4 linked regions of the Lepisosteus oculatus genome follow. The protein of the gene in region 1 purifies or fractionates together with the protein of each later gene. This does not show direct contact. Links are inferred from orthologs where the notes say so. Each region holds a gene or a part of one and is shown in the gene's direction. Other genes may lie near its edges.

Region 1 (7,798 bases):
GTAGAGTGATTTCTACATTGTGTTTTAAGAAATCTGGTGCTTGTCTAAGTCAAAGTGTAAAAGCCTAACTTTGTTGCTCTTACGTGCCATCCCATCAAAAAGGGAACATCGTTCAGCAGTGTTGATTTGTGTTGAATGTAATTTTGCATTTTTCCTCCCCATCTCAGGAAGCAGATTCAGGATCTGAACTGGCAGAGGAAGAACGAGCAGCTGACGGGAGGCGCAAAACTGCGGGAGCTGGAGTCCAAGTCAGTACCCATGCTAATGTCCTCATAGTCACTGACACAGCAAAGTGCTTAAAGCCGCCGGATATTTTTACAGAAGCAGAAAAAAAGTATTACTTTTTTGGAGCCTTAAACAACCTTAACCTTTGAATTCAAGAAAACGTAGACCGATTAAACCAAACTATATTGAATAGGCGTGTTTACTGATCTGGACCTTTGCTCTTTTTAGCTGGGTGTCGCTGGTCAGCAAGAACTACGAGATTGAGCGTGCCATCGTCCAACTGGAGAACGAGGTGTACGTGCTGAAGCAGCAGCAGGGAGAGGAGAACAAGGAGAACATCCGGCAGGACTTCTGAGTCATGGAGCCAGCACTGTGCACAGCAATCCCAAAGCAATCAAACTGGAATTCCAGCAGCTGGACAGTGCTCTCACTTTCCCCATGGAGCTCCTTACCTTGTTTTAGTATATGGTCTGAAGGCGTCAGCACTTCAAGATTATCTCCTTTGGACAGGACTTTATCTTGGGCAGTTGCTTTTCTATGTAGTTGCACCCCAGATGTCAAAGGAGGTCGGCTATTTATTAAGTATAATGTTTGACAAACTGCCCTCTTCTTAGTAATACCTTTTACTCAGTGAATTTACTCAATAATCAATTTGAAATAGTGTCATGGGTTTAATCAGCAGCTGAATGTTTTAATAGTCTGCACCTCTGTAAGATAAGTGGCTATGTACTGTCTTTTCTCTGCACCCTGCAGGTTTGCCACTTGAACAGGGGGGTTGCTGGTGTTCACTGCTTGTGTTCTCTTGAGCAGAGACAGGAGTGTTGCCTTTCTTTCCTGCCAGCCTTTGGAAGCTAATAGGAAGTGGACTTTATTGACTCATGATTGCACAAGACCTTTAAATCTCACTTCTTCAGCAGCCCTTTTTAATGATGTTTTTGGTTTGAAAAATGAATTCTCACTTTTTATACTATAGGTAGCAAGTTCTGAAAATGACCAAATCCTTTTTGTTTCAGTGGATGGTTTATATCACTAACTCTTTGTTAACTAATAAAGCTCCGAGTCTGAAGCAACGCTGAAGCTAAATACTCATACCTTTTGGCTCAGACATATTTTGAAGTTGATTTCTTTGTAATAAAAATGTCAAAATTTAAAGTTCTATCTTCTATTTATTTAATATGCATTGTATCTTTTCGTTAAAAGCTATAAGGATGGTTATCAACGAGAGGTGAGCACTGGGCCCGTCTCGCCTGTTTGGTTCATAATAACTTCTTGATCCATGGACCTTATCCAGTAATTTCTTGAGATATTCCAGAGAATTACCTTCCATAATGTAAGTGGGAAATGTGTTCCAGACTCCCACAACCCTATATGTTCAATTGTGCTTTCTAACAAATGCACTTCCATTTAATTTTGATTTTGCCTTAGTGGTTTCCATTCCATTTTGGGTCTGTTGACACTTGACTTGAATGTAACCCTAGCCTTTCAGCAGGTCTTTATAGGTCTTGCTTAAATCATCAGTTTGGAATGATTTGGAACAGGTGTGAGCTGGTGGTAAATGAGTGGAGGCCTTTTCTTAATTCCCCAGAAACCAACAGATTGCACTTCTTATCCTGAGAACAACAACTGATTAAATGCTACAACTGGAAATTGTCGAAACTGCAGGTTAAAAGGGGCTACAATTCCAAGGCCAGGGATTATCTACAGTATGGTCGCTCATAACAGAATTCCTGTTCTCCTTTGTTAGTGTCTTGCATGTTGCTGGTTAAGGATACCAAGGGGTCTATGGGTCACTGTGTGAAGGCAAGATATAAATCAAATCACGTTGCCAGATGTTTATCAATCCCGGATCTAAAGGAGCAATTTAGGGGATTTATCAAAATACTTTGGTGCAGACTTGTACAACAAGCTGTTGGTACACAATAAATTACTCCTACCTGAAGCAGAGCCAATGCTGGGTATGCAGTGCATTTAAATGTGGCTGCATGGTCTGGCTGACAAAAATGTAGGCAAAAAATCAGCTACTGTTAATTCAGGACCTTTTTCTAGACCTGGGACATTGTTTCTCAGTGTTAAGTACTTTGTTTTAAAAGCATGAAGCCAGTAGCTCCTCACTATTTTCTTCGAGTTTATACTGTAGATGTTTTTTTTAACTGATTTGTTGTCTGTTCATGTCTCCCATGTACTGTGACTTTTTGTCGGTACAGAAAGCCTCTTAACACACAGATGTGAATGTGCGCTGTATGTTCAGTGCCTATTATCGGCATAGAAGGCAACTTCATCATGGTGGCACCTATTGAATTTGGGGTCTCCGTGACTTTTAGGAAGCAAAAGAGACCATGTTTAGTCTGTGGAGCCTTCTTCGGGTGTCCTTTAGACTTTTAGAAAGCTGCATACAGGTATGCAGTTTCTGCACAAACGGTTAGTCAGAACTCTATGTCGTCGTCACACAGCCCTCTAAGATCACAACTAAAGATGTGTGCAGGAATACAGTCATTATGGGTAAGAAAAAAGAGACAAAGCAGATTTATTTCATTTTTTGTTATACGATGTTTGTGAGAAGAAACGGCTTAAAATTGCAAGGACTTTTGGAAACAGGTACCCCAATTCAGAAGAGCGAATGCTTATCACCGAAGCATTTGTTGTAGCAAGGAAATTAAACAAACTACCTTAAATAGGTTAGCAAGGCCTGAGCCGTGAGCAAGGCCCTTAACCCCAGCTGCTCCAGGGGCACCGTGTAAATGGTTGACCCTGCACTCTGACCCCAAGCTTCACTCCCCATCTGTGTGCCTGTGTGTCTCATGGAGAGCAAGCTGGGGTATGCGAAAAGACAAATTCCTAATGCAAGAAATTGTATATGGCTAATAAAGGGATCTTATCTGATCTCTTATAGGTTTAAAATCTGCCAATCTGTAGGACAATAATAAGTAACATGAAAGCTACACGGATATTGATTAAAAAGATAGTGGGTTTTAGTGGGAAATTAACAATGAATTCTGAAATTGGAAAAAAAAGTTTAGAAAAGTCTCGTAGGGGATTACTCTACTTTAATATGGAAATATCTAGAAAAACATGACTAATTTGTTAGTAATATGGGAGTCATGTTATGACAGTTGTTCGCATGATCAGTAGGCCTATAGAAGTCACTGCTGAGTTTTTGCGCACATCACGCGTACAGTGTGAGCCTGACTGGCTTGATTTTAAAGGTTACGCAGTGCGTGTTAATACGGTACGCAGGACTAGGATCGGGATTTCCAAACCGCTGTCCCTGTATAGTGATCTGGAACTGTTCTGTAGCAGGTGCTGTCCTGTCCTTTGGATGAGACGTCATATTGAGATCCTGAATATTTTGTTATTAAAGATCCCAGGGTAGTGCTCGAAAGAGCATGTGTATAAACCCCCGTGCCCTGGGTAAATTCCACTCTGGGCTGCTACTATCTGGTCTCTCTAGATTTCCCCTTGATTCAACTGGTGAATAACATCTCACTTCTCCATCTGATCTCGTTTGTAAGTGGGGACTGCAGCCGTGTAATATAGCTACCGTGCGTCACCCGGGTGGAGCACCATTTCAGTGGATAATGCCAATAATTGTTCAGCTGACGCCCAGATCCGGGACTTAATTTCAGTGTGTATATAAAATGTGCTTTTCTAGAAATATGGAACGCTTTTCAAATTTGCGAATGAAGCATGACCAACTGTCCATTGAGCTGATCTTTCGGAATGAAATCGCAAATAATTATTAAATCTGAACTCTGATGAACGTGCTCGTATTTTAATATTTATTTTTTTAGTATACTGTATGTAAGACACCATTATTTGAATTCCCCTTAAAAAATGCCTGATATTTTTTCTTGATTTTTTTCGTTTTTTTAAATGTTACTTCTGCACATAGACAATTACGAGGTTACCAGATTTAAGAACTCAAAATACCCAACATACAAAATCCTAAAACCAACCTAATGGACTTCAAGATCAACAGTAAACCACTAAATCAGGGGTGTCCAATCCTAGTCCTTGATCTGCCCAGGTCACTATTTTAACTGGGCCGAATTTACAGCTTCTCTCAACTGTTAAGGTGCTGCTTTAAAGAGCAAGTAAACCTGCAGACACTCACAGAAACATATTTATCATCTTGCTCCCCATATACTCCACTGGGGTAGATTGATTGTTTTAATACTTTTATTGAACATTAACTAATACAACCAAAGGAGAACCGATATACAAAGGTATAAGTGAAGAAAAAAATCACAAAGAATACGCTTCTATTAAAAATTGGACACAAGGAATTAATACATTTTTTGTTTCGTGAATGTGGTATCTATCCCATATTACTAACATTAACTATACCTATATCTAAACATTTCTTCTATATGATATGTTGCAAAGTATAACATCATACCAAAACTCCTTAGATCCAACATTCACATTTTAATACTTAACGATAAAGTTTTGCACTCTGTCCAAAGCAACAGGTAACGAATAAATGAGAGAGACTTTACTGGCGATAGGACCCTGGGTGGCTCTCTCCTACGTCACCACACCCGCCTTGCGGCGTTTTGTTGGTGCGTGAAGCGTCAAACGGTTCAAAGAGGAAGCAAGATGGCGGAAAACAAAGACGGAGGGGAGACTGAGAGCCCCGCAAGCAACAATCCCGAACCTTCCGGGGAGGACGACGGCAGCAACCCGGCGGCGAAAGAGACCGACGCCCTCGTCATCATAGACCCGGTCCCGAGTGCCGAGGAAGAGGGTCAGCCCGACAATAACAACTTAGGCTCGACTCCGAGCAGGGACGCTGGGGGAGAGAGCAGCGGCAGCCCAGCCAACAGCAACACCGAGAACACCGGGGACGCCGAGGAGCCCGCCCCGGCCTCCACGTCGGAGGTGTCCTCCCCTTCCCCGGCACCAGCGCCTCCGGCACCTCCGATCAACCTGCTGGATACCTGTGCGGTGTGCAAGCAGAGCCTGCAGAGCCGCGACTGCGAGCCCAAGCTGCTGCCATGTCTGCACTCCTTCTGCCTGCGCTGCATCCCGCAGCCCGAGCGCCAGATCAGCCTGCAGCTGCCGGGCCCGCACGGCCAGGACACCCACATAGGTGAGTCGGGAGGTGGGGGGGAGTTTGTAGCCGAGGATCACTCTGGCATCGGCTTTCTGGAGGTAAGAGGGGGGGCAGCTCGGCACGGGTATCGGCAAACCACGTCGTGCGGGGCTGACTGCACGGTTCCTAGGCAGCTTTAACGTTTCCCAGCGGCAGGACACACTTCTATCAGCAGCGAGTGGGAAGCCCAGCCAAAGCGGCGGGTCGAAGGTCTCGTTGGCCAGCCATGATGTGTAACATCTGGGCTTGACTGGCCAGCGGCAGCCGATTTGGTGTTGCGATCGTGTGGTCTTTCACACGGATCCCGATCGCGCTGCTGGCCGCTTGCCGAGCTGTAACGTGCTGCATCTGTATTCTTACAGTTTTTCGGCGCAGGACCCCTTCAGGTTGGCAAGCAGAGTGTCCCTACAGTGCTTAGAATGACCGAGAAGCGTACGTGAAAGTGCCTTTTCGTGTAGTGTTTTTTTTTCCTCCCTTCAGCACATCAGCTGTTGTGATCGAATTCGACTCCCCGCGGATGTATGCCTCCCCCTGCTTGTGCGCATGTGCGCCGTGATCTTTCCATCAAGTGCTGCCCGTCTGTCCGTCATGGTCACCTCGCTGCTCGCTGGCCGTGGAGGTTCCGCCTTCATGCTTTCGGGCTGAGCTTCCCTGCCGTGGTCAAGCAAGCACGCCTGCTAACCCACTGGGGGGGACCGCACGACCGAGTCTGATCTCAGACCGTCCCTCACGGACTGAAGTCCTCCTGCTGGGTATTGGTAGCCAGGCTGGATGTTAAGGTCTGTTCAGCCACAAGCATGAGCCCAAATTGTAGACCTGAAACATTGCTGGAAATAAACACCGCGTCGTCGGGCAATCGCAAAAAACCCCAGAAATCGGCAGCTGAAGTTGGCACATGGTCTACCGTTTTAGTGGTCCTAAATCTGAAAGTTTCAATGTATCTGACGACTTCTTGCCGAATTGTGTTCTACCCATGTGGTTTGGAATATAGGATGGTCCGGAACTAAAAGTGCTCATCAGAGGTAAACATGAATGTTTCTTAAGGGAGACCTAATTCAGGTAGTTCATTGATTTGCCACCTTCGAACATCTCTCATGGGTGAGCCGGGTTGCTCCTGTTACCTTGTAGGTTTCCTGTGACGGAAACAAATATTGGACTTGTTGTGTATTTTACACGGAATGTAACACCTCATACCGTGTAGTTTGAAGTAAACAACTACGGACAAGTCTAAAGGTAAACTGTTGTTTTTATTGTCATTTGTAACTTATGTTAACAACTGACTATGGTAACACTGAGGCTGGTTTAAGGTTTAAATATCCTCTTTTATTTGGAAGAAAGTGGATGTTAGCACTAGGTACAGTCTGGTTGTGGTGTTGTAGTAAATGATTGAGATCAGCATGAACTAGGAAGGGGCTGTGGTGGAGATTTCTCTTGCTACACATTCCTTTATATTTATTTTTGAATGCCGATCTTGTAATGGTTGCTTATAGTAGTGCATGGACTGGTACCTATTGCTAACAAGACCCACTTGATGGTGATGGTGTCAGAATCCGGGCTGTCACATTTGGATGTCAGAGAGTTTGTTTTAAGACCACTAAAGTACATTAGTCATTAAGTGCCATAAATTCAAAGGTAATTCTTGAATATATTTGCTTCCAGTTTGCTTAAACTAGTGATATATACTAGAGAGTTATGTTTCCTGAGGCTATTAAATGGCTTTAAAACCTTGAAAGATGTTATTCAAGGTCTTCTTCTAATGTATTCTTCATTAATGGTTAAGATATGTTATGCATTGCACTTAATATTGAGTGTACTTAATCGTAGTATTGTTCAGTTGTGGAATTTATCTGACTGCAGCTATGATTGTTGAAGGACTAAACACTAAGATATATGAATGCCCCTTTTTAAAAAAGGTTATTAGGTTACAGTTTCATAATTTATATATGTTTTACTATTGCATGTCACTACTTTGACGATAAGAATGATCGGTAATTCTGTGACTCCTAAACCTGTTGCTGGTTTAGGTAAATCTTTAACCATTGCTTATCCTGTGATAAATACTCAACTGAAAAGGATGCTTATTTTTCATTTTTAATTTGAATGTTCAAATAAGAATGGACATTCAAATGAAGCAATTTGTAGTGTGCTGTGCAAACGCTACTTGTATATAATGAAATAGAACATTGTATGGCTAATTTTCATTTATCCCCCTGTAGTCAAACACTTAAGCTACGATGTATGCACACTGTAAAAAAACTTTATTCAAATATATATCCACATAAGGCATTGGGATATTATACAGCTGAGTGATGTCTTATTTAGCTGAAGGGTGACGTGTTTGTGTACAGTTTTAAAATCCTCATTTAACAGGCACCAAAGCAAACACTGTTAAAAATGGTTTTGGAGATGAAAAGGTCTGTTTGTGAAACTGAACACAAAATAGAGAAGACGGACACACAAATTAGGAAGCCTGGTCTTGCT
Region 2 (7,970 bases), on another chromosome or scaffold:
TTGGCAGCTGTCTTTGTTTTCTGATACCAGTAAAATTATAGGACGTGGTCCTGTTTTAGCAAGTGATACAGACGTAGCTGGAAAGCGACAGTCTGGAGCTGTTCCTCTGAACTGAGGAAACCGAATCTGAGGCCCAGCAGCTGCATGTCTCCTGTCTTTGTGGAAGGAGGCAGCAGTCGCTCAGTAGTTTGGAAAGAGAGGTGAAAAAGAAGCTAATGATCACCATAAAGAAAAGGAAAAAAAAAAGAGTACTTGAAGCAATATAGTCTTCAGCATGTGGAAACCCAAAGTTGGAGAGTAAGGTGAAATACCGCAATGATATGCTGTAATTAAACAATATTAATTAAATGAAAAAGTACATTATACAAAAGCAATGTATCTGTTTTTTTTTATCAAAGTGAAAATGAATAACAGATATTTGTATGTCCTCCAGGAAACTGGTAGAAAGACAGGTAATGGGGAAAGTGGGCATCTCCGTAGAAACCAAAACCGCAATGGCCATGGCTTATGATGATCTGAGTAATAAATTAATGCATCAATATGTTTTTGTATGTCTGTAAATTAGGCTGTGGAAATGGTGCTGTACAATATCATCAATGCCAAATACATTTTTTTTGCTTCCTTAAAAGCATCAAGTTTGTTTTGTTTTTTTGGCCTCTGTGCCATTTTAAATTGAAAACACTTGTTAAGGGGTGAATTGTAAGTATTCAACGCAGGAGGCATCTTTGCTGTTTGATCTATTCAAAATAGTGTTAAAGAATGAAGAAAGTCTAGTTTGCACATTTATGTTGCTGCTGTATAAGACTAAGTACCAAGGCTTTATCTTTTACCACTATACCTCTTTCATTCTCATTGACATGCCCTGAATTCTAAATCATTAAGGTGAGGAAACAAAATACTTTTCAAGTCACCTTCCCTGCATGATAACAAGTTCTGATTTTTTCCCCATGAGTATATCTCACAGTGATTTCCAGTGCCCTTTTTCATTATACCTTTGCATTTCTAATAGCAATGTTCTTGTGAAATAAGTGTGATATACTGTACATCACTATGTTAAGAACAAAATTGAACCACTACAATATTCTGTATTTAAAAAAAGGCAGTTCTGAATGTAGAACTTCAAGGGAGCTATCTCATACCCTGGAGAGCTGTGGCAGATAATTGACAAATTGGGGGTTTCTACTGTTATTCAAAGTAGCGGTAGATATGAAGTTAGATGGTGATGGATTCTCAGGACCTGTAACATAGGCCATTCCAGCCGCAGAGCCAGAACGGCACAGGTAAAATGTCAGATTACCCCCAGATAACAAATTAACAAATATCCTTACTTCCACAATTCTGCACTTCATGTTTATCAGCAGTCTCATGACAAAGGTGCTCAGAGGCTGGATGGGCAGAGCTCTTTAATGAGCCACAGCAGTTAACACAGGTTGGATAAAGTATAATTCAGACATTGAACATTTGGGTGATGAGGGGCAGATGGAAAACCGACCTTTCCTGTGACCCATCTAGCAAATGTCTCTGACTCCTCACAAAACAATCACCAGCCACAAAACCTGTATAACCTTGAGGGTCTGTGTTAATGATCTGAAGGGCAGAAGATCTGAACACACTCACTCTTTAATTGCAGAAGTCTATCTGGAGGTGGTACCCTTAGAGGATTAATTAAGCATTCAAACAAACTCGCGTCTTCCTGGTGAAAATCCATTGCATGCCAAGGAGTATGGATGGGGTAAAACATTGATTTACTATGCATATTAATTACAGTTCAGTAAGGTTTCCAACATTTTTTATTATGTATTCTCAATCCGTGGTTAAAGCTTTGTCATTTTTAAAAATGTTACCATTATTTGCTTCCATTTATATTGCATAAAAGCTCGATTTGGCAACAGTATTATTCATAATTTATTTGTAACGTTCCTACATGGACACGTACTACTTCATCTTCAAGTGACAGTACAGTAGGTTACTACCTTGAAAACTGTTCTTGTAAGAAAGAAACACGATTTGAATACAAAATATTTAAAAATAAAATAAAAGGCCAGTTTTTGTTATTTTAAACCCACTTTGCCATTACCAATTTTCATTACCATCTTTTCAAATATACACAATTTATGTTTGCTATCCCATAACATGTATATACGACACTTGATAAAAGTCACTTTTTGAGGGTGCAATTAGAGTCTCGGAGGAGCCAATGGCAATAAAATTAAAATCACCGACTAATAATTTGCAGTGACCAGCCTGAACTAAGATTTATTTTGATAAAGAAAACTGCTTGTATTTTTTTTCTTCCCTTTAACACAAACGTTTCGGGATAGTACATTGTCATTAACAATTTCCTTTTAAATAGAAGACAGGAAGTTCTTCGGCGCCAGGATTTAAAACGGGGATTCCCAAAATCCGTTGAGTATAACGAAATCCATGACGCGGTTTTTACACTTGACAGAATTTTGGAGTCGCATACCCGTAAGTTGGTCTTGATAAGTAAATCGCTGTATGACACGGTTTTTAAATATTTAAACCAGAACATTCATGCTGTTTAAGTCAGTTTTATATTTAAAACTCCTGCCCAAGCCACCAAACCGTGAATCACTATTGCTGGAAGCAAACTCAACATTCCTTAATTTTGTCCTTCACACAGCACATAGTAACACTGCCCATAGCAAGGTTGTGAGTCACAAAGATTTAAAGTTTTTCAGACTGAGTAATTTGAAAATCTAGATCTGTATAGAGGAGAGGCCAGGGTCACATAGAAGCGAATAGCTAAGTATTATGAATCATTTTTCTTAGGAATAGTTAATGGTAAACAATATCGTCGCTTGCAGACGATAAAATATTTGTCAGACAACAGCGACAAATTTTTGTGCGCATGTTCCCAGGCCTTTGAGGCAAAAATCTAATATTTCATAAACAATTATTTTATTTTCGCACCACAAAAGTATTACGCTGTATACCCAGTCGTGAACCTTGTGGAATGATTTATTCTGCAACCGTGCTTGATCAATTACGGTAAGTACTAGCTATTCGAAAAGACAATTCATTCGAATAAAAAAAAGATCTGTGTTGATTTCTGGTGAGTAAAACAGACATTTTCCAGTATCTCTGAATTGTAACGAGTCCATAATACTGTTGCTCCCACTATTTTATGTACAGTGTATATTCTAACAGGGCCCCCTTGAAAAGGACATGGTGCAACTCAAGGGGTTTTATCCTGTCAATAAACTTTGATTTTATAGTGGAGATGAAGTAAGCTCTCAAACACAACTGTTTTTTTTATGTTTAGCTAATGCACAACACGTATGTTTCATTAGACATTTTTACATATCTATGTGTTCTGAACACTTCTTCACAGTTTCCCATTTTCCTTTCAAACGTTGTTTCTGCCTGCCTTTTCTTGAACAGTCAAAGCCTTATTTGTATCAAGGTTCCGTGAGAACAGAAGTCGGACATAAATTAAAATTATACATTTGCGTTTTTTCATCGGTGAAGACAAGAAGCTTTCTCAAGCAAAAAATTGCCATCACCTACTGGGAATTTATTTTTTACATCTGGTTGGTGGATACAGTACACCCTTAGATTTGACCCTGCTCACATTCTGAAAAAGAATTGTGTGGATGAGACACGGGTGTATTATCAGCGTTGAATTGACTTTTTTGTTTATTTTTTTTCTAATTACTAGGAATATGTAAATTCACATTAACATTCACGAACCTCTGGTTTTGGTCTTTTCTCGGTTAAACTCTTCACCGATGCACACACCAAAAACGCCTTGCCATTTCATCTGCCAAAGTAAATAATATAATGTTAATATTCTAACAACACTCAATTCACTGAGCACTGACCTTGACAGAGGGAAATGTAATATCCCTTAATTGTCTAGGCACCAGATGAGATCTGACACAGTCCATGAATAATAAATCGTTGCAAATATGCACTAATGCTTCCTGCTAGGAGTTCATATCGTAAATATGTATGTATATTGAAAGTAACTTAGTGTGTATTAAGTCCGTTCTAAGAAGGATGTCATCAGAAGCAGTGAAAATAAAACTATCACCTGATGTAATGAAATATGTTGTACATGTTTTATTCTTCAGACACTTCAGACATCTCTCGTAATGTAATGCGCTGTGTCCGGCTCTTTAGCTGGAAGCGTTATATTTTGCCTGAAATGGCAAGAGGAGTAGTGTTTTTTACCGTTTTATTTCCTGGAAACAGGCAATCTCTTGACATCTAAAGCAGAAAGTTACACGAATACTACATATCTGTCACCACAGTGAACTGTTCCGTGTCTGGAGTTTCCGTGGGAACAGAGTAGGCTGCAGTTAAACACACATTTGACCAGATTTAGATTTAAGTAAGCCTTAAGTAAGGCTTTTAGTTTTGTTCCGAGAATTTTTTTTCATGTCAGAAAAACAGAACTCTTTTGTCGTTTACAATTTTAGATCAATATGCCGATAAACTGAAATTGTTGATTATTACAATAGTACTATCACGTAATATACATTATAAACCTTGAGATTTAAATGTCTCCTTGACAATAATTTAATACGTATTTCTACAGTGATTTTAATCGCCCTGCTCTACAATGGTAAACTGACCGTGTATGGAAGGACGATTACAGTCAAATTATGCATAAAGATATATATATATAGTTCATCATTAAACAGTTTACACTGAGACAATCGGTACGGGTTGAAAGACAATTAAATGCAGATATTCATATAATTGAGACAAAGGAAATAAAATACGAAAAAGAAAGAAAAAAATCAAAGAAACGGGACTTCAATGGAGATTTGTCTGTGTGAGAAGGGGAGTTAGCGTTTCCTGAGACTTTTCTGTCGAGAACATTTTCTTCTTTCCGTTTCAAGTAACGCGTTTGTCGTAGCAACCGAAACGGCACCATCGCCTCAGGCGTCAACGGAGTTACAGGCGGCTGGTGGTGACATCGCAGGCTGGGCCGTGTGCCCGACTGCAGAAACAAACACAAGCCCAGACTGCGAGACAGACACCCACGTCTCGTTTTTCCGTGACAAGCCCGTGTGCTCCGAGCAGCCGGGTGACGTAGCCTGTTGGGTTGTGGAGTGACGTGGTGAGTCTGTGTGTAGTGATGTGTCTGGCTGCTTGCATTTTGTTGACGGTCGGGCACGGAGCGAGGGGACACGGAGAAGAGGAGGGAGGAGAGGCGAGAGAGGTGGATTTTTTTCACACACAAAAAAGAAGGTTACACGCGGGCGACCAGGATTTACACACGGTAATTAGTCACTGTCACCGGGCCTCTGTACCACTCCCCTCCACGAAAAGAAAATCGCACGTTTACCCTGTAAACAGCATGCTGTACTGTACTGATGGCAAGGTATGGGAGCTGAAGGTGTGTAGCTAGCGAGTGAATTGACCAGTTTGCACTGGGGCGATACAGTTTTATTGCACGCATGCTATCAAGGGAGGTCGCTTCGCTGACGCTGTTAATTTGTTTTGGGTTGCTGTTCTTAGCCACACACACACACCAAAAAAAAAAAAATATTGCGTTTAAAAAAACACGAAATAAAAGTAGCAACTGAAGCACAGTAAGGTATTTCCCCTCTGTATCGGGGTATCTGTTAGCTAAGTATTATTTCTAAAACGCGTTTTCTGGTCGACGAGTGCAATTCTGATTATTCAAGGATTGCCCTTCCTCTGTTCGGGGATATACTCGGTTTAGGACGGGGGCACCAAGGGTTTGGCTGTGCGGTAGCGTGTGTGTGGGGGGTGGGGGTGAGAGGCAGGAAGAGAGTCCCGTGAAAGGTGTACGATACAGTGAATGTCATGAACACTACACAGGCGAGCCGGTGGCACAACATAGTGGAGGAAATAAAGGAAAGAGAGGTAGGTGGGGAGAAAAGCGAGTGAGTGAGAGTCGTGTGTACGCTGTCCTTGCTAGGAAAGGAGGGAGGGGGGGGGGGGGGTGCACCCGGAGCAGAGTAACGAAATGTCAAGATACAGCAGCCGCCACAACAACGCTGAGCGCTGCGCTTGAAAACCATCGGTGTCCGAGCACACTGCAGAGCGGACAGGGGGACCGGGCGGAGCGGTGACTATCCGCTAGGAGGAGAAAGCGGCGTTTGGGCGAATTTGGGACGAACCGTTAAGATATCGGGTGAACCAGCGTACTGTGCCGTTTAGTCATCAGCCAGCCCTTGTGGACGCGGCATCACCGCGACTAGCTCACGCTGAAACATCGGCCGGGACTCGAGGGGTAGCCTGCTTCTGGTCGACTGAATTGGGGATTCACTCTGCCGCACGGACTGTCGTTGTTATTGCGCTACAGTGGATACATGTTTGTTTTTTTTTACCTCGATTGCAGCTTTATACTTTGCTCTACATCCGAACCATCTGGTGCATATCGGAGAAGGTCAATGCTGTCGGCGGTGCTTCAGTTGAACCTGACTGGATCTAAGCGGAACTGAGACGATACTGGAATTCAAGGCTTGTGTAAGTTAGACATCTTCATCCTTTACCTTTGAGAGAATTTTTAGTTGGGTCATAATTTGTATCTATTTATTTTTTCTTTACCTGTATCATATGATCTGTATAACACTCCCCCTTCTGTTACTTTGAGCATTTAAACGCCACTGTCTAATTTAAGAAACTTATTTTATTATTGTATGTTTTGTAATTCCATACATATTGGACCCTGTCACGTCTCATTAGAAACTGTGGTTCTGTACGCACCAGTCTGTAAAAGACTGCATTTTTCCTAATAAGTGCAAATATACCTGGTTGTTCTTTTAATATGGAGAAGAGCTTGAAATAAGATTTATACCAACATGTAAGACACAGGCTGAAAAGAATGTCTGGTGTAACATTTTGTATTATGCCTAAAAGGATTAAGATGACTGTTCTTCTTGGTTGTTTTTTTTAGGATTAGTATACAAGTGTGCAGTCCATCACAAACATGTATGTAAAAGGAAAGATGATAATCTACGATTGCCGTGAATGTTAAGGAGCACATCCTTTCAGGAACAAAAAATAAAGACACACGCCAACAATAACAACAAAAACTCAAAGGAAAGGCATGGCTGGCACGCCGACCACTTTGAAACACACTTTAAAAGACGTGGCCTTACTCAAAGGAAGCATGAAGCGGCTGTGCAGAGAGAGACTGGAAGACGCCCCTATTAAAAAGAGGGTGGTGGCAGAAATACATCTGAAACGCCGGACTCTGGAAGGAGTCCCCAGAATGCCAAAAGTCAAGCAGGAACACACGGAGGACCCCGGGGAAGCAGCTGTCTGCGAGAGGGAGAGACAGGGCAGGCAGCTGCCCGTTCCACCATCAAAGGCCCTGGACCTCAGTCCGGGCCTCAAGCACACGCTGGCCCAGTTCCACCTCAGCAGCCAGAGCTCCCTGGGTGGGCCAGCTGCGTTTTCTGCACGCAACCCCCAGGAGTCGCCCAGTGTCTTTGTCCCCCTTCCTTCTCCGCCAGCGTTGCCTGGCCCGCTCCTGATCCCCTGTGACAGTTCCACCGAGCTCACTCACTCTCTGCTGGAGGGCGAGTCCATCTCTTGCTTCGTGGTGGGCGGCGAGAAGAGGCTGTGTCTCCCGCAGGTGCTCAATTCCGTCCTGCGGGACTTCTCCCTCCAGCAGATCAACCTGGTCTGCGACGAGCTGTACATCTACTGCTCCCGCTGCAACGCCGACCAGCTGCACATCCTGAAGGTGCTGGGCATCCTGCCTTTCAACGCGCCCTCCTGCGGCCTGATCACGCTGACGGACGCCCAGAGACTGTGCAACGCCCTGTTGCGCCCCGGCGCGCCCCTGCAGGGCTCCTGCAAGCTGGGGGGCAAGGCCCTGCCGGAGGAGGGCGAGGGCAGCTTCGCGGTGGAGCACGAGTGCCTGGGGAAGTGCCGGGGCCTGTTTGTGCCGCGGTTCTACACTCAGCCCGACGCGCCGTGCATCCAGTGCGCCGAGTGCCAGCTGATGTTCTCGCCGC
Region 3 (7,663 bases), on another chromosome or scaffold:
CTGCTCTGGACAGTCCTGTGTGAATCATACTTTGCCTCGGAAAATTAGCAACGACCACAGAAAGGTACTAACACTATTATAATTAATGATATTGGGCTTCATTTAGCTGTGTGAGCGATGTTGATATACATTATGCATATACCTATAAAGTACTTGTTACATATATCGCACATTAATATAGTGTTTACTGTAAGTACTGTAGAATCTTTATGGCACTGTTTAAAATAATTTTGAAGGATTTCAAAACAACTCTTATAACAACTTTATAGAACAAATATTTCCAAGTCAATTAAATAAACTAAAAGATTTAGGAACATAAATTAAAGATAAAAGTCCAATAATCAGATAAATATTCAGAGAAAATTAAAGAGAAATCCAATACATTTTATAAAACAGATTCAAGCAAAGGCAAATGATTGCATGCTGTGGTACACGTCATAAATCCTGCATGTTTTATTCCCAACAGTAATCTTTAAAACAATAGCAAAACCACAACCGTTCTTCTTATTCCCCTCAAAAACTAACCATTGAGATTTTATACAAGTCTTAATTACACATGGATGTTGCCTCTAAGGCAGATGACATTCCACATGCTAACCAGTAATAAGATGTTTACCATAAGGCCAAAATTAATTTTCAGATAAAGACGCATAATGGCGCCATCTGGTGTTCAGCATCGGCATTAACGCAGTTTGCAACTGTTTCCAACTCGGTACAACGAAACACGAAAAAGCACCTAAGCCCCAAAACTTAATTTTTGATCATCTCTGATCTACCAACTATATACCTTCTGTATGCTTGAAAGTCCTTGTTACAGAAGTGGTCACAGGCAACTCTTTACAGGTCTTTTTCCTGACATACCGAAAGTATATCTAACAACTACAAAGCCTATGAAATATAACTAAGGATGAAAATAATAATACTAATAATTGCTTACTATACCGCTTTTCTGGACATTCCACTCAAAGCGCTTTACAGGTAATGGGGATTCCCCTCCACCACCACCAATGTGCAGAATCCACCTGGATGATGCGGAGGCAGCCATAGTGCGCCAGAACACTCCCCACACATCAGCTATCAATGGGGAGGAGAGCAGAGTAATGAAGCCTATTTATAGATGGGGATTGGTAAGGGCGAATGGGAACTCTGGCCAGGACACCGGGGTTATACCCCTACTCTTTTCAAGAAACACCCTGGGATTTTTAATGACTACAAAGAGTCAAGACCTTGGTTTTACCTCTCATCTGAAGGACAGCACCTTTTTTACAGTATAGTGTCCCCGTCACTACACTGGGGCATTAGGACCCACACAGACTGCAGGGTGAGTGTCCCTACTAGCCCCACTAACACCTCTTCCGAGCAGCAATCTTAGTTTTTCCCAGGAGGTCTCCCATCCAGGTACTAACCAGGTTCACACCTGCTCAGCTTCAGTGGGTTGCCAGTTGTGAGTCACAGGGTGATACGGCTGCTGACAGTATACTACTGACTGAATAAAACACATATCACACAGGATATTTGGAAACCGGAACTAGAGAGCCATAGAAAATATGAAAAAATGTTTCACATATCCTTATGTTTTAATTAACTGTTTTAATTAAGAAATGAATGGATCAATACTTACAAGATGACACGTGCCTTGAGGAGGAATTAGTGCCTATGGATAACAACAAAAACACTCACCACTGGCTGTGTCACATTCAGGTTTAACACCACGTGTCTCTGGGATAGCTGTTGTAATGATTGAATTGATCAATAGGATCCTGAAATGTTTGGCCTGATATTGTGGATACTGTTTATATATAACTGATCTTATACAGAATTAGGGACATCCTTCTTCACCCTATACATTTTAACAAGGAGGCTGATAATAAGTCACTGTCCCAGTAAAATTAAAGTGGACCCCGACTTAGAATTTTCCTTATCAAAAAACTTTTGAGTGGTCAAATCTAAATGTGCATTTTGAGGCTGTAAGCTGGAAGGCATGCAGTACCATCAGCAGTTTGAGCTCATGGTGCCATTGTCACCACAGAGACACCCTAAGCTTTGACTTCCCTCAAAGGCCACATTCCAGAATGTTAAATGAACCTCTTTTAAACCAGCTACTGTTCTGAAGACCCAGGAAAAGTGTTCAATTATCTCAATGGGCTTAGAGATCAGGCTGAATGAAACCCAGTAGGGCCACACCTATCCATCGCTGGGGTTAAAGGCAAGTTCAGAGCTGAGGCTTCTGTACTTAAGTAGTGTCAAATGGAGTTGGATGTACAACAGGGCTTCCAGTATCAGGAACATCCCCAGGGCCCAAGGCCAGGGAAAACAAGAAATTAAATTAAAATATACTGAGGCTGCAGAAAATTAAGAACATTATTTTTCTTCCATGAATGGGCTTCTATTTTTTATCCAAATTAGCTGTCTTCCTACAAACTATTCAGTTTAATTGGATATCTACTAAGAAGGACTAGAGTAACACTTTTTTACAGTACTTAAGTGGTTCGAAAGGTCCCCCTGAGAACAGCACTTACATAACAGTGCTCCGGAGTGCTATTAGTGTTGTTTTTCAGTTCTAAGCATTATAAAAATAGAAATAATTATCTTAATGGTGCAATTTATACAACTGCACTTTTCTTCTTGGTTCTTTTCTCACCAATTGAGCTTCCTTTGTGCTTTGCAAGATTTTTTTTCGTTTACATTCCTGTTTTGTTATTCTCTGTTTTGCAGGTAGAGTCACAGGGAAAAATAAAATACAGAACTTTAATAGCATTGTATCAAACTTTTTCCAACAACAGTCTCTTTTTGACAACAGTGTATTCAACATAAAATATAAAAATCCAGCATCCCGAAGACAGCAAAATGTTTTTTTTTATTTCTGACACTCATATGACCTCCTGTCACTTTATACTCAACACAGACTATATTCAGCCACAGCTAGAGTGCGCAGTGTGTTTCCGTCTGTCTCTACAATGTTCAAATCTTTTTAAATCTGTTTCCCTTGTTTCTTTCCCAAGTTGGCAAAAAGCTACACTCACCAACAGCCACCTGCTAGAATTACATAGCTGTACCGATGCCTGAAAATAAAAAAGTTAGTTCCACTATCAAATTCCTTCTTTTTTTTCACAAAAGCTATCAAAACATTAATCGGGCATCTAGTCTCAGCCACAGGACTGCATGGAAGGTGCTAAAAGAGAAGATAGATTTTATAGAAGCTTATTTTAACGTCCCTTTGCTTTGCTCTTGGGGAATTAATACCAATAATTCATTATTTCTCGCAGGACAGTCGTTCACACAATAACTTTGGCCTCTGCAAGCTGCTTTGGATAAAGGTGGATCTACACGCTGATCCTAAGGAGATGCTGCTTTTCAGTTTCGAGTGAAGAATACAACAAAAGGAACAGAAATACCTTTCGGGCCCCGATACTATCTAGAAAGATACAGTCTCTCAAAGTGCTCCGTCTCAGCTCTTCTATGAGTGTCTCTCGGAACAAGAAAAAAAGGTAAAAAGCAGAATTCATACATTTTCTACACAGCCTGTTGCAGCATATTTAGATTTGCACGAAAGTTTGATTACTTCGTTTTACTTCATTGTAAAGCCTCGTTAATTTTTGGGTTACCATATATATTTTTGGAAAGCGATGACATATTACTTGATTGACTTTTTTACCATCGGTTCGGTTATTAAAAATGAGCGGAAAATATTTGAATTATTCTGTTATTAGGTATCGTAAAGCTAAGGAGCTGGATTTCCTAACATACAAGTGCCCAACTTAGTTAACCTGACCTGCAGCGTTTCTGGTGTAATGCAAAATCAAATGTATAGAAAAGTAAAAGTTCTTTATGTAACTATGGCGATATGAAACCGCTTTTGTCATTATGTATTACATTTTGTTTTTTATACTTAAAACATAATTCATCTGACAATTTTAAGATTTGTCAACATGCTGTTCTTAAACCCACAGCAACGCAAATGAAAACACGTAGAAAAACTAAGGTCAATTTCAACAGTACCTTGTTTACCAATAGTTTGCATGTATAAATCCATCTAAAAAGGTGCCACATGTTTTTGGACAGTGATTGTGCACGGGGTTATGTGATGAATTATGTAACTACTGCAGCACAGAACCAACAATAAATATTTCAGTCCTGCCATGACACCACACAAGACTTCAGCCTTTCTCCATAACGCATAATCCACGCGCACGTGTCCTCCCTCTTTCTTACTAAAACTTCCACATCCTGAAAGAGAGCTCTACTTTGTCTTCATCTGCTTTGGCGGAGGAACACAATAGCGGTACAGCAACACAAATGTTTTGAGACGATTCAGCTAACGCACCAGCCTCCTAATCCCCACCCCTCCTCTGAGCCAAATCTATTATGAAGTCATTTGATTGACAGTAGAATTCCCAATTGAATCTCTGGATGTAATCTAGACGCTCTATTGACAGAGCGTTTCGGCGAATAAAAATATATATGGGGTGTACGTAACTATTAGTTCCTGCTTGCGCATGACGATGTATGGTTGACACTTCCTTTAACCAATCGCGAGCATGATGTATTCTGAGCTACGCTCTTCGATCTACACTACCACCCAATAGGAGGTTAAAAGGCGGGTTTAATCTCGGGAAGCTGTCGCGTAGCTAACCGTGGGGATAGATAGGTTGTTGAGTGCGAGGCCGTTCGTCTGTGAGTGTGTCGGGGCGACTGGGGGAGAAGGGGGAAAAAACTCGCTGGAAAAAATAATTTATAGATCTGTAAAAAAAAATATTTAAAGCAAACGTTATTTTAATTAATCGTTTGAGCCTCTAGTCCCCTTTCGCATGATACTGCTTGAAAGGAAGTAAGAGTATTTTGCTTGAGATAAAGAAGGGCGGGTTGGAAACATGTTTTAAAATCCTGTTTATTTTTCTGTCACCTAAAGTAACCCTAAATATTCCCCGGGATTTTAATTCGCTGGCTAGCCTGAAAACGGAAAAAAACCCCGCTGACAGCCTGCCGAATATGAACTGAGATTCCTGCCAGGGATATAGCCTTATCTGGTTGTTTTGTGGATAAACATCGGCGACGATCCTGGGTTTTATTGTTTCATTGTAGCTCAGTTAGTGGCTGCGGGGTCGCTGGGCTGCATCGGACAGCCCGTGCAAGATCAAGATTTTCGTCAGCGGCTTCAGCACTTCAGCAAAGTGGAACCTGAGCGTTGATCAGCAACACTGTACTTAAAATCTTTCGAGGTGAGTTTTTTTCAGTGTGTGTGTGTGTGTTTTCTCCTAGCAGTCCATGGATTGTTAGTGCAGCGATGTTAGCTGATGTACTTTAGCGACGGCCTGGCCTGTGTTGCATGCTCGATGTGATACTTTTTCGATCTGTTTCGCTTCACTTGAGATGTAACTGTAGTTGGGGCTTTTTTGTTTCTTGGAAATCCGCCCAGAGACCGGTTCTCTTATTTTTTTCCAAGGTATTTTTGGTTTTCGAAGTCCATGCTCGGGGCTTTGGCTTTGTGAATATGTGACGATGGGTGTTACGTAACGGCAATTGTTGCTGAAAAATTGTGTGGGGGAGAGAGATGGGCAAAAACTTTTCACGTATTTTGATTCCCTGGAGCTGTCTTCGTATTTCTGTATCTGGTAAGGAGCCCTAGGGTACTTTAGTGTCCATAAGCGAGGGCAATCAGTTTTTGCAAGTTTGTTCATTTAATCGATCAGATGGAGTATCTTAATTTTAAAACATTTAGATCACAAAATCCTGATCTAATGATCATGAAGTGATTTCAGTCTTTTAGTTTGGATGACTTGTCATCTTTACTTGTGAGGTAAAAAGGGCTATATTAAGTTCAACGAGATTCCTCAGGTGTCGATTAGGACTAGCTTCCAGTACCGGAAAATGGTACAGAAACATTTTGTAGGGCGTGAATGTGAGGATTTCTTTGTTCATAACTCGCGAATTCTGTTTTTTTTTTCGAGTGCATTTAATTTTAGGCTTTGTAATTTGGTAACTTCGAATATGTAACACATATAATCGAATATGTAATGCCCATGTTTGCAAGCCCTAGGTGAAAACGATTGCGCACGTCTTTTGTACACAGGCTTGGGGTTGTCACTTACCTCTCAAAAGTTTAAATAAAGCTGTAGAGGCTGGCTGAGATATTTTATCAACGTTTCTTAAAATACATTTCTTTTTAAATTCTTTCTCGATGGCTTCTGTTTGGAAAATAGTTTGATTAGCTTCGCCCACATTAAATTAGTGGGGTATCTTGTTTTTAACACTTAACAGTGCGACGCCTTTTGGGTTTGGTTGAAGGTTTCACGTCTTGTAAAATTTAAAATAATATGTTTATGCTACAATTCCTATGATGCGCTTGCTTCTTCACCATATTTTTACGTTTATTACTCATTGTCTTCCTTTGCAGCCGCCGCAGAAATCGATTCTTATAAGTGCTGCCTGAAATCGTTTTTGTGACAAGATTTTCGGCTTTAAATAACAGTCTCTTAACGTACTGGATTATTCTTGCTCTCTCTTGAAGTCTTTTTGCTTTCTACTTTAACTCCACACGTCAGAAGAAAAAAACACTGCAATGCAAAGTGTCAACTTCAGTCTGTGTTTGAAATAACCATAGTGAAAGTTAAAGGCACGTTTATTACCATTTCTGTATACACTACCGCATGTGCAAAGAGGTGGAAATCCCATTATAATGCTGGAAAACATTTTGATGCATATTTTTTAAACGATTAAAAAATTCTCAATTTGGATTTTTTTGTGGTGGTGGGGGTGGTTGTCATCTGTCCCTGATAAAGTGTTGCCCGTTAATTTATGAGTTCAGATAGTTGGTTTTCCTAAAATTGGTGTCTAGTATTGTAAATCCTTCTGTAATGATTTGTGTGGATTTGAAGTGAAGTGACTGTTCCCAGTCCAGCACTTCCAGGGGTCTCTTTAGAAACTGCTGAACTGGAAGTGATTGTTTTGCTGAACGGAAAAATTTTGATATCGCCATAATCATCAATATTTGTTGCCTTCAAACTCTTAATAGTAATTAAAGGTGGGTTCTAGAAATTGATGCCCATTAGCAAGTGTTGCAGCAGCTGTTTAATTAATGTGCTTGAGTCTCTCACATCTTTGGTTGAGGTGTGCTCACTTTTAAGTTGTCATGTTCCATGATTGTTGCTGGAAAGGATCCATGATGATGTCTGCACGACATCAAATCTTGTCTTTCGTACAATATTTCTTTCTGCTGACTGCTAAGTACTTAACTGTTCATAACGGCTAGGATGTTGTGGTTTACATCATGCTCTAGTACAGTATGTATGGTAAAAACGTCTGGGGATCGTTTACACAAGGGGGGAATGAGTTGAATATGAAAAAGAGTGCTTTTGTGAACACCGACAACATAGCCTTTTTATTAATGATTAGGCCTACCTGTTATATAGTCAGCATAACAAACTCTAAACAATTTGAGTCTTTCTGTTTGCAGTTTCTAACAGTGTAAGTTTACAAGGCATGTATTAGACAGTTTCTTTATAATAAGTGCATGAAGCATTCGCTTAATGTTGGCTTGAGTGTACTTATTTCTGCATTTATACTTTTTTCAACCTCTCAAATCGGCCAAGTAAAAAAAAACCAAACCTTTTCTGTTGCAGGCCTTCATCCTGAAAATGCCTGTGTTTTATTAATAAGGAGTCAT
Region 4 (7,250 bases), on another chromosome or scaffold:
CGGATGCTGAGTTCTGAGGAACAGCCTTTTCCAGGCAGTGTCCGGGTGGTGTGAGCACTGTTAGATTATTGAGCTGACAGTGCTCACTGGGATATCCAGGCACTGTGATATTTCTCGTACTCATTGCCTAATCTATCCAATTTTTAATCACTTTATCTCTGATGTCCTTAGAATGCTCTTTAGTCTTCATTTTCATGGCTTTATAGCTTTACTTCAGATTCACTGCCTGACCAATGATCCTGAAACACACTGGGGGTTTTATCCAGTAAATGTGACAGTCACTTCAGTAAGTGTGACAGTGACTAGGCAGGGGCCAATGGTAACACAATTGTATCCTTGTCAGGGCAATTTCATTCACCTGTGTTAATTCAGAGCCATGAGATTAGAAGGGCTGGAATACTTATGCAAGCAGCATATACACACCCGTATACAGTATATATACTGTGCACACTGTACACACAGTCTACTCTATCTATATACTGTGCATGTGCACACTGTACACAAACTCTCATTGTATATATATATACTGTGCACACAGTACACACTACTCTGTATATACTGTGCACAGTACACACACTCTACTCGGTATATATGCTGTTCAGTCTCTACACACTCTCTACTCTGGATATACTGTATACTGAAGGCATTGTGAGTACTGCAGAGCATAACTTGCCAGTGTGCACACAGTGTAATCAGTCCTTTTTCTGTGTCTTCCAGTCTGTGGCACGAGTACCCCCTGTGACCCAGCGCTGTGGAGAAGAGAGCGAAGAGTGAATGTCTTCAGTGTTACACACACCAGCACCTCTATTCCAGAGCCCTGCGCTCCTCTTTTATACTGGATTGTAATCACAGCTTTGACATAGTGATTGTTCAAGAAAGATTAAAATTTTAGATTTTGGAAACTGCATTTCTCATGCCTGGTCTGTCTCAGTGCAGTGTTAATGTCCTGTAGTGTCCAGTCAGTGTATCTGGACTGTATTAACCCCCTCTCTCTCAGTGGAGTGTAAATGTCCTGTGGTGTCCAGTCAGTGTGTCTGTACTGTATTAACCCCTTTCTCTCAGTGCAGTGTTAATGTCCTGTAGTGTCCAGTCAGTGTGTCTGGACTGTATTAACCCCTCTCTCTCAGTGCAGTGTTGATGTCCTGTAGTGTCCAGTCAGTGTGTCTGGACTGTAATAACCCCTCTCTCTCAGTGCAGTGTTAATGTCCTGTAGTGTCCAGTCAGTGTGTCTGTACTGTATTAACCCCTCTCTCTCAGTGCAGTGTTAATGTCCTGTAGTGTCCAGTCAGTGTGTCTGTATTGTATTAACCCCTCTCTCTCAGTGCAGTGTTAATGTACTGTAGTGTCCAGTCAGTGTGTCTGGACTGTATTAACCCCTCTCTCTCAGTGCAGTGTTCATGTACTGTAGTGTCCAGTCAGTGTGTCTGGACTGTATTAACCCCTCTCTCTCAGTGCAGTGTTAATGTCTCTCTCTTGCTCCTTCTCTTATTTTCTGTTCCATTACTCTGTTTTCATCTGTCCCCCCTTCTCTCTCCCTCCTGAAACATGATCTTCTACATCTCTCTGTGTTAAACCTATTCACCTCGAAGGCACTCATTAAACACTTCAGATTGATCTCTTTATCGCTCATAAAAGAAGGAGAATTTAAAATGAAAGAGAGAAGTATTTTAATGTGATGGTAACACCCATCTTCTTTCACAATCGTTCCTTCACACACACACACACACTCCCTTTCCTCTGCATTCAAACACATCAGCCTGACACCTTGTACTCTCAGAAAGCAGAGACGTGTTGGGATTTTCTTTTTTGTTTCCACTTAAAGCTTCACTTTTGAGGAAGAGTTGTGGGAGTGTGGAACAAGCTGCCCAGCCATTTTGTTGAAACTGATACCCTGATGTCTTTCAAGAAACATCTGGATGAAATTCTTGGATCAATTAACTGCCAATTATCAAAGAAGGCGAGATGTGTCAAATGGCCTCCCTTTGTGACTTGTGATGTTTTTCCGAGTATACTTTTACAAAAACAACGTAGTTTTCATGTACTGTAGAGTCCACTCTGTGTGTACTGTATTAACCCCTCTCTCTCAGTGCAGTGTTAATGTCCTGTAGTGTCCAGTCAGTGTGTCTGGACTGTATTAACCCCTCTCTCTCAGTGCCGTGTTAATGTACTGTAGTGTCCAGTCAGTGTGTCTGGACTGTATTAACCCCTCTCTCTCAGTGCAGTGTTAATGTACTGTAGTGTCCAGTGTGTCTGTACTGTATTAACCCCTCTCTCTCTCAGCTGTTTCCGTGATGCTGCTGGTTAAGACCTCATTGCCAGATGGTACAGTTTTGTGCAGGAGGTATACGTTAAGTTTAAGCAGTGTAGGACTGCTTAAAAGCTCTCCTGTTTCGTCCTTAATTGTGAAAGTCTCTGGTCTCTCTCCCCCCTCCCTGGTCTCTCTGTTGGAACAGGACTAATCCTAGATTACCAAAGCAAACAGAGTGTATCTGTCTCACTGTGTTCAGTGCCTCTTCTTTCTCTTCCTATTGTGCCCCAGTCATTCCTGAAGCATTAGCAGTGTTTGCTGGGTGATTACTTTAATACCTCCATGGCACCTCACTCTGACAACTGCTACACCAGACTGCACACATAGTGTGGCCACAGCTAGTGTGTGCATGGTGCAGGAGAGAGATTGTGTGTTTTGTGTGTACAGTATGTGAAAGGGAGTGTGTGTATTGTGTGTACAGGGTCTGAGAGAGAGAGTATGAGTGTGTATTGTGTATGCAGTGTAAGCAATTGTGTGTATATTTCACATGCAGTGTGTGAGGAAGTGCGAGGGAGTGTGTATGTATTGTGTGTCAGCAGGTGTGTGTGTAGTGTGTGTAGTATGTGACAGTGAGTGTATGTAGTGTGTGTAGTCTGTGTGTGTGTAGTCTATTTGTGCAGTGTGTGTGCAGTGTGTAGTGTGCATGTGTAGTGTGTGTGCAGTGTGCATATTGTGTTTGTGTAGTGTGTGTGGTGTGCATGTGTAGTGTTTGTGTAGTGTGGGTGGTGTGCGTTTGTAGTGTGTCTGGTGTGAGTGTAGTTTGTGTAGTGTGTGTGTGGTGTTTGTGTAGTGTGGGTGGTGTGCGTTTAGTTTGTGCAGTGTGCGTGTCGTTTGTGTAGTGTTTGTGTAGTGTGGGTGGTGTGCGTGTAGTTTGTGTTGTGTGTGTGGTGTTTGTGTAATGTGGGTGGTGTGCGTGTAATTTGTGTAGTGTGTGCCAGGAAGCGCGGTGTTTTTACAGAACAGTCCGGACAAACCCGCTGCACTGATCGCTACAGCCCGGCTGCTTTGTTTCCCCACAAGGCTAAAGCTTTCAGTTCACAGACCCCATGAATTATACATTCCTCCATCTTAAATTATATTTGTCTGTATCTTTGAAGTTTTTCAAACACTAGAGTGATTCTGTCCAGAAAAATATTATTGGACGTATTTGCGCCTCCCTGCGACACTGAACCGACAGCGGCTGCTCCGAGCACGAAAACCTCAAGCGCGGTCTATGTCTCCCTCTGCTGTCAGAGTGTGTGTGTATCGTTTATACAGTGTGTGAGAGTTATTGTGTATACAGTTCGTGTGTATTGTATATACAGTGTGAGTGTGTGTGTGGTGTATACTTCATGTGTATTGTGTGTACAGTGTGAGTGTGTGTTGTGTACTCAGTGTGAGAGAGAGTGTGTGTATTGCATATACAGTTTAAGTGTGTGAATTGTGTATACAGTATGAGAGTGTGTGTATTGTGTGTAGAGTGTGAGTGTATTGTGTGTACAGTGTGAAAGTGTGTGTATTGTGAACACAGTGTGAGAGTGTGTGTGCATTGTGTATCTAGTGTGTGTGTATTGTGTATACAGTTTGTATGTATAGAGTGAGAGTGTGTGTATTGTGTCCAGTGTGTGAGTGTGTGGATTGTGCACTCTGTGTAAGCGAGTGTTTGTGTATTTGTACACGTATGAGAGAAGCAGTTTGTAGAGCGTGTTTACTGTGTTGTCTCACTAAGCCCATATAAACTCTCCGAGGCCAAGACAGCGCCTCCACGGTCCCCACGGATTGTGTGCGCTATTACGGTAAAAGAACAACAATAACCATACAAATTTATGCGTTGTAAAGGTCGATAGTTCATATAGATTGTATTGGGTTTGGCTCGCCCTTTTCAAGCGGAGGCAGAGTAAAATACATTGCGCCAGTTCATTGTGTTATACGGCAGGTCGTAAGGAAGCGGAAGTCAACGCTTTGAGTTTCCGGCTCCTCTTCCGGTAGAGGCCCAGGTGGCGGGTTTGACGCGGGAAAGTGTCTTCTGTAACACAAGTAATCACGATTTCCGAAGACATTTTACAACAGGGGCACCGAAAGTTGTAAGTCCAAGAAGACTAAGCGCATGTCCTTTCATTTCTTCGCAATCGAAATTAACAGTTAAGAGACGCAGCTGGGGCACCGCAAAGCAACATTTTAAACCCCTTGTTATTTATGCGCTACGTTGTGTTGACTCGGCGTGGTGACTTACTGAGCGCCGGGAGAGGAGTCGTTGGTTTCGAATCGTGCCGGGCACTCGGAGCAGTACCATACCGCACCTCGTTGTTGATAGAGCCCGTTATTTCGCAGCTACAGACATTTGAAGTCTCAGTTTTTAACCCGTGGAGTGTCGCAGTGGAAAAATGGGAGACACTCTGGAATTTAACGAGATCTACCAAGAGGTGAAAGGATCGTGGGTGAGTTACACTGAGCTCTCTCTTCCTCTGCATCTCGGATTGAGAAATATTCAGTGGTGACGAGGGGCTTATAATTTTGAGAATTTTACTGTTGTTTGTAGTCGTAGGATATACTGTATATTCTCTCTCAGTGCAGTGTTAATGACCTGTAGTGTCCAGTCAGTGTGTCTGGACTTTATTAACCCCTCTCTCTCAGTGCAGTGTTAATGTCCTGTAGTGTCCAGTCAGTGTGTCTGGACTGTATTAACCCCTCTCTCTCAGTGCAGTGTTAATGTCCTGTAGTGTCCAGTCAGTGTGTCTGGACTGTATTAACCCCTCTCTCTTTCAGAATGATGGTCGTCTGCGTCTCAGTAAGCAGGCTGTGGTGTATAAGAACAGTAAGACCGGGAAGGTGGACAATATCCCCGCGAGTGAGCTGACAGAGTGCGTGTGGCGGCGAGTGTGCCTGGGTCACGGGGTGAAGCTGCTGACCAGCACAGGACACATCTACAAATACGATGGCTTTCGGGAAAGTGTGAGTACACTGGCCAGCCCCCTCACACGCCGCCAGAGATCGAGGACAGGGATGTTGTGCCGTATGGATTTCATGAGCAGGGTCTGTCTGGCGGAGTCTGTTAGGAGAGATGTCTTGGCTGCAATAGAATGACAGGGGTTATGCTGAGCGTGTGTCTCTAGTACTCTCTCTCTCTCTCTCTCTCTCTCTCTCTCTCTCTCAGTGTACAGCCCTGTGAGAAGACGCACTGTCAATTCAATTCAAGGTGCTTTATTAGCATGACCGATGGGTACAATCAGTGTTGCCAAAGCAAATGAAAGTAAAACAAAAAATAGAAGTAAAATAAAATCTACAGACATTTACAACAAAGACATATTATAAAATATTGACATATACTTTAGGCGGCTGGAGCATTATTGGGAGACAGACTCACCGTTCCTCAGGCTGTGACAGGAGCCTGGCCATAGAAACTGGGCGACACAGGCAGACCTGGCTGCCCGGAGAGGACAGGCTGTGCTCCCACTGCCAGCGGGGAGAAATGGAGACAGAGGTGCACTTCCTACTGCACTGTGAGGTCACTGTCTCTCTCTCAGTGTACAGCCCTGTGAGAAGACGCACAATTTAGTTCAATTCAAGGTGCTTTATTTGCATGACCAATGAGTACAATCAGTGTTGCCAAAGCAAAACAAATACAATTAACGTAAAACAAAACATCTACAGACGTTTACAATAAAGACACATCATAAAACGTTTACTTATGGACATATGGAGCATTATTGGGCTACAGGTTCACTGTTCCTCAGGCTGTGACAGGAGATCACATACTGGGCTGCCAATTCAACTGAGTTCCCTGCTCCCTCTCCCAGTAGGATTGGGACACTCTCTCATTGTACAGCCCTGTGAGAAGATGCACACATTAGTTTCCTTCCTATCTGTTATCGGGTTTTGCATTAGGATGTACAGTAGATGTTCGTAAACATCAAACATCTAAAGAACACATGTTTATTTGAGAAACAAGACGTCTTAATAGAGCTGCAGTCTTTTCCCAACGGCATCATGTAGCTCTGGAACGTGTGAATGATCTCTTCAGAGAAACAAAAATTGTCGTTCAGCAATCCTGGAGCTATTTGGACCAAGTTCAGTGCAACATACAGTCTAACAAGTTGATGTTGGTGTGCACTTACAAGTGGATGAGACCTCTGAGAGTTTTGTGGTAGATGATTTCTAAGGAAGCCCGATTGCTAGTGTACTGGTGCGGGCAGAGCACCTCCATCTGGATCAGAACGAGTCCGCTGTCCCAGGTTGGGAATTGTGGTCCTTCGTGTCCCCCAGGTGCCTGCCTCTCAGTGGGGTCCTTGTAGGTCTGTGGGCCTGGTGCCCCCCTGAGCTGATGTCATGCCCTCTTATGTCCGCAGGACTTTGAGAAAATATCGGAGTATTTCAAGAACAATTACAGGGTGGAGCTGATGGAGAAGGACCTGTGTGTGAAGGGCTGGAACTGGGGTACAGCCAAGTTTGGAGGTACGCCTTCAGGACAAGTACAGACAGGGTGTCATCACTGTTGTCAATTTCATACCCTTATGCAGGAGGGTTTAAGTATGAAAAAATATATACTCAGTGTGTGAATCTGTATCATACTAACCCTTCTCTCTCAGTGCAGTGTTAATGTCCTGTAGTGTCCATTCAGTGTGTCTGGACTGTATTAACCCCTCTCTCTCAGTGCAGTGTTAATGTACTGGAGTGTTCAGTCAGTGTGTCTGGACTGTATTAACCCCTCTCTCTCAGTGCATCCAGTGTTAATGTACTGGAGTGTTCAGTCAGTGTGTCTGGACTGTATTAACCCCTCTCTCTCAGTGCAGTGTTAATGTACTGGAGTGTCCAGTCAGTGTGTCTGGACTGTATTAACCCCTCTCTCTCAGTGCATCCAGTGTTAATGTACTGTAGTGTCCAGTCAGTGTGTCTGTACTGTATTAACCCCTCTCTCTCTCTCTCAGGTCCTCTGCTGTCATTCGAGGTCAGTGACAGTCCTGCG

Evidence for each region.
Region 2: the proteins of trim33 (region 1) and skila purify together in Homo sapiens (affinity purification with western blotting; 4 studies listed by BioGRID and IntAct, with this or other methods). This does not show direct contact. The link is inferred for Lepisosteus oculatus from reciprocal best matches to the Homo sapiens genes TRIM33 and SKIL.
Region 3: the proteins of trim33 (region 1) and smad2 purify together in Homo sapiens (affinity purification with western blotting; 7 studies listed by BioGRID and IntAct, with this or other methods). This does not show direct contact. The link is inferred for Lepisosteus oculatus from reciprocal best matches to the Homo sapiens genes TRIM33 and SMAD2.
Region 4: the proteins of trim33 (region 1) and FACT complex subunit SSRP1 purify together in Homo sapiens (affinity purification with mass spectrometry; 3 studies listed by BioGRID and IntAct, with this or other methods). This does not show direct contact. The link is inferred for Lepisosteus oculatus from reciprocal best matches to the Homo sapiens genes TRIM33 and SSRP1.

Annotation. Positions count from the first base shown.
Region 1 is NC_090700.1:32,460,937-32,468,734, forward strand, and holds the start of trim33 (E3 ubiquitin-protein ligase TRIM33), read left to right. Parts: upstream 1-4,793; 5' UTR 4,794-4,821; coding exon 4,822-5,314; intron 5,315-7,798. Other genes in the region: bcas2 (pre-mRNA-splicing factor SPF27), read left to right, coding at 168-248, 454-580. UniProt on the Homo sapiens protein: Acts as an E3 ubiquitin-protein ligase. Promotes SMAD4 ubiquitination, nuclear exclusion and degradation via the ubiquitin proteasome pathway. According to PubMed:16751102, does not promote a decrease in the level of endogenous SMAD4.
Region 2 is NC_090708.1:13,841,511-13,849,480, reverse strand, and holds the start of skila (ski-like protein), read left to right. Parts: upstream 1-4,956; 5' UTR 4,957-5,254; intron 5,255-5,264; exon of another isoform or gene 5,265-5,371; intron 5,372-5,410; exon of another isoform or gene 5,411-5,865; intron 5,866-6,343; 5' UTR 6,344-6,471; intron 6,472-6,901; 5' UTR 6,902-7,054; coding exon 7,055-7,970. UniProt on the Homo sapiens protein: May have regulatory role in cell division or differentiation in response to extracellular signals.
Region 3 is NC_090698.1:17,846,503-17,854,165, reverse strand, and holds the start of smad2 (mothers against decapentaplegic homolog 2), read left to right. Parts: upstream 1-4,655; 5' UTR 4,656-4,674; intron 4,675-4,680; exon of another isoform or gene 4,681-5,082; 5' UTR 5,083-5,219; intron 5,220-7,663. UniProt on the Homo sapiens protein: Receptor-regulated SMAD (R-SMAD) that is an intracellular signal transducer and transcriptional modulator activated by TGF-beta (transforming growth factor) and activin type 1 receptor kinases.
Region 4 is NC_090701.1:42,561,905-42,569,154, forward strand, and holds the start of FACT complex subunit SSRP1, read left to right. Parts: upstream 1-4,245; 5' UTR 4,246-4,671; coding exon 4,672-4,725; intron 4,726-5,053; coding exon 5,054-5,239; intron 5,240-6,633; coding exon 6,634-6,739; intron 6,740-7,212; coding exon 7,213-7,250. Other genes in the region: pold4 (DNA polymerase delta subunit 4), read left to right, coding at 718-742. UniProt on the Homo sapiens protein: Component of the FACT complex, a general chromatin factor that acts to reorganize nucleosomes. The FACT complex is involved in multiple processes that require DNA as a template such as mRNA elongation, DNA replication and DNA repair.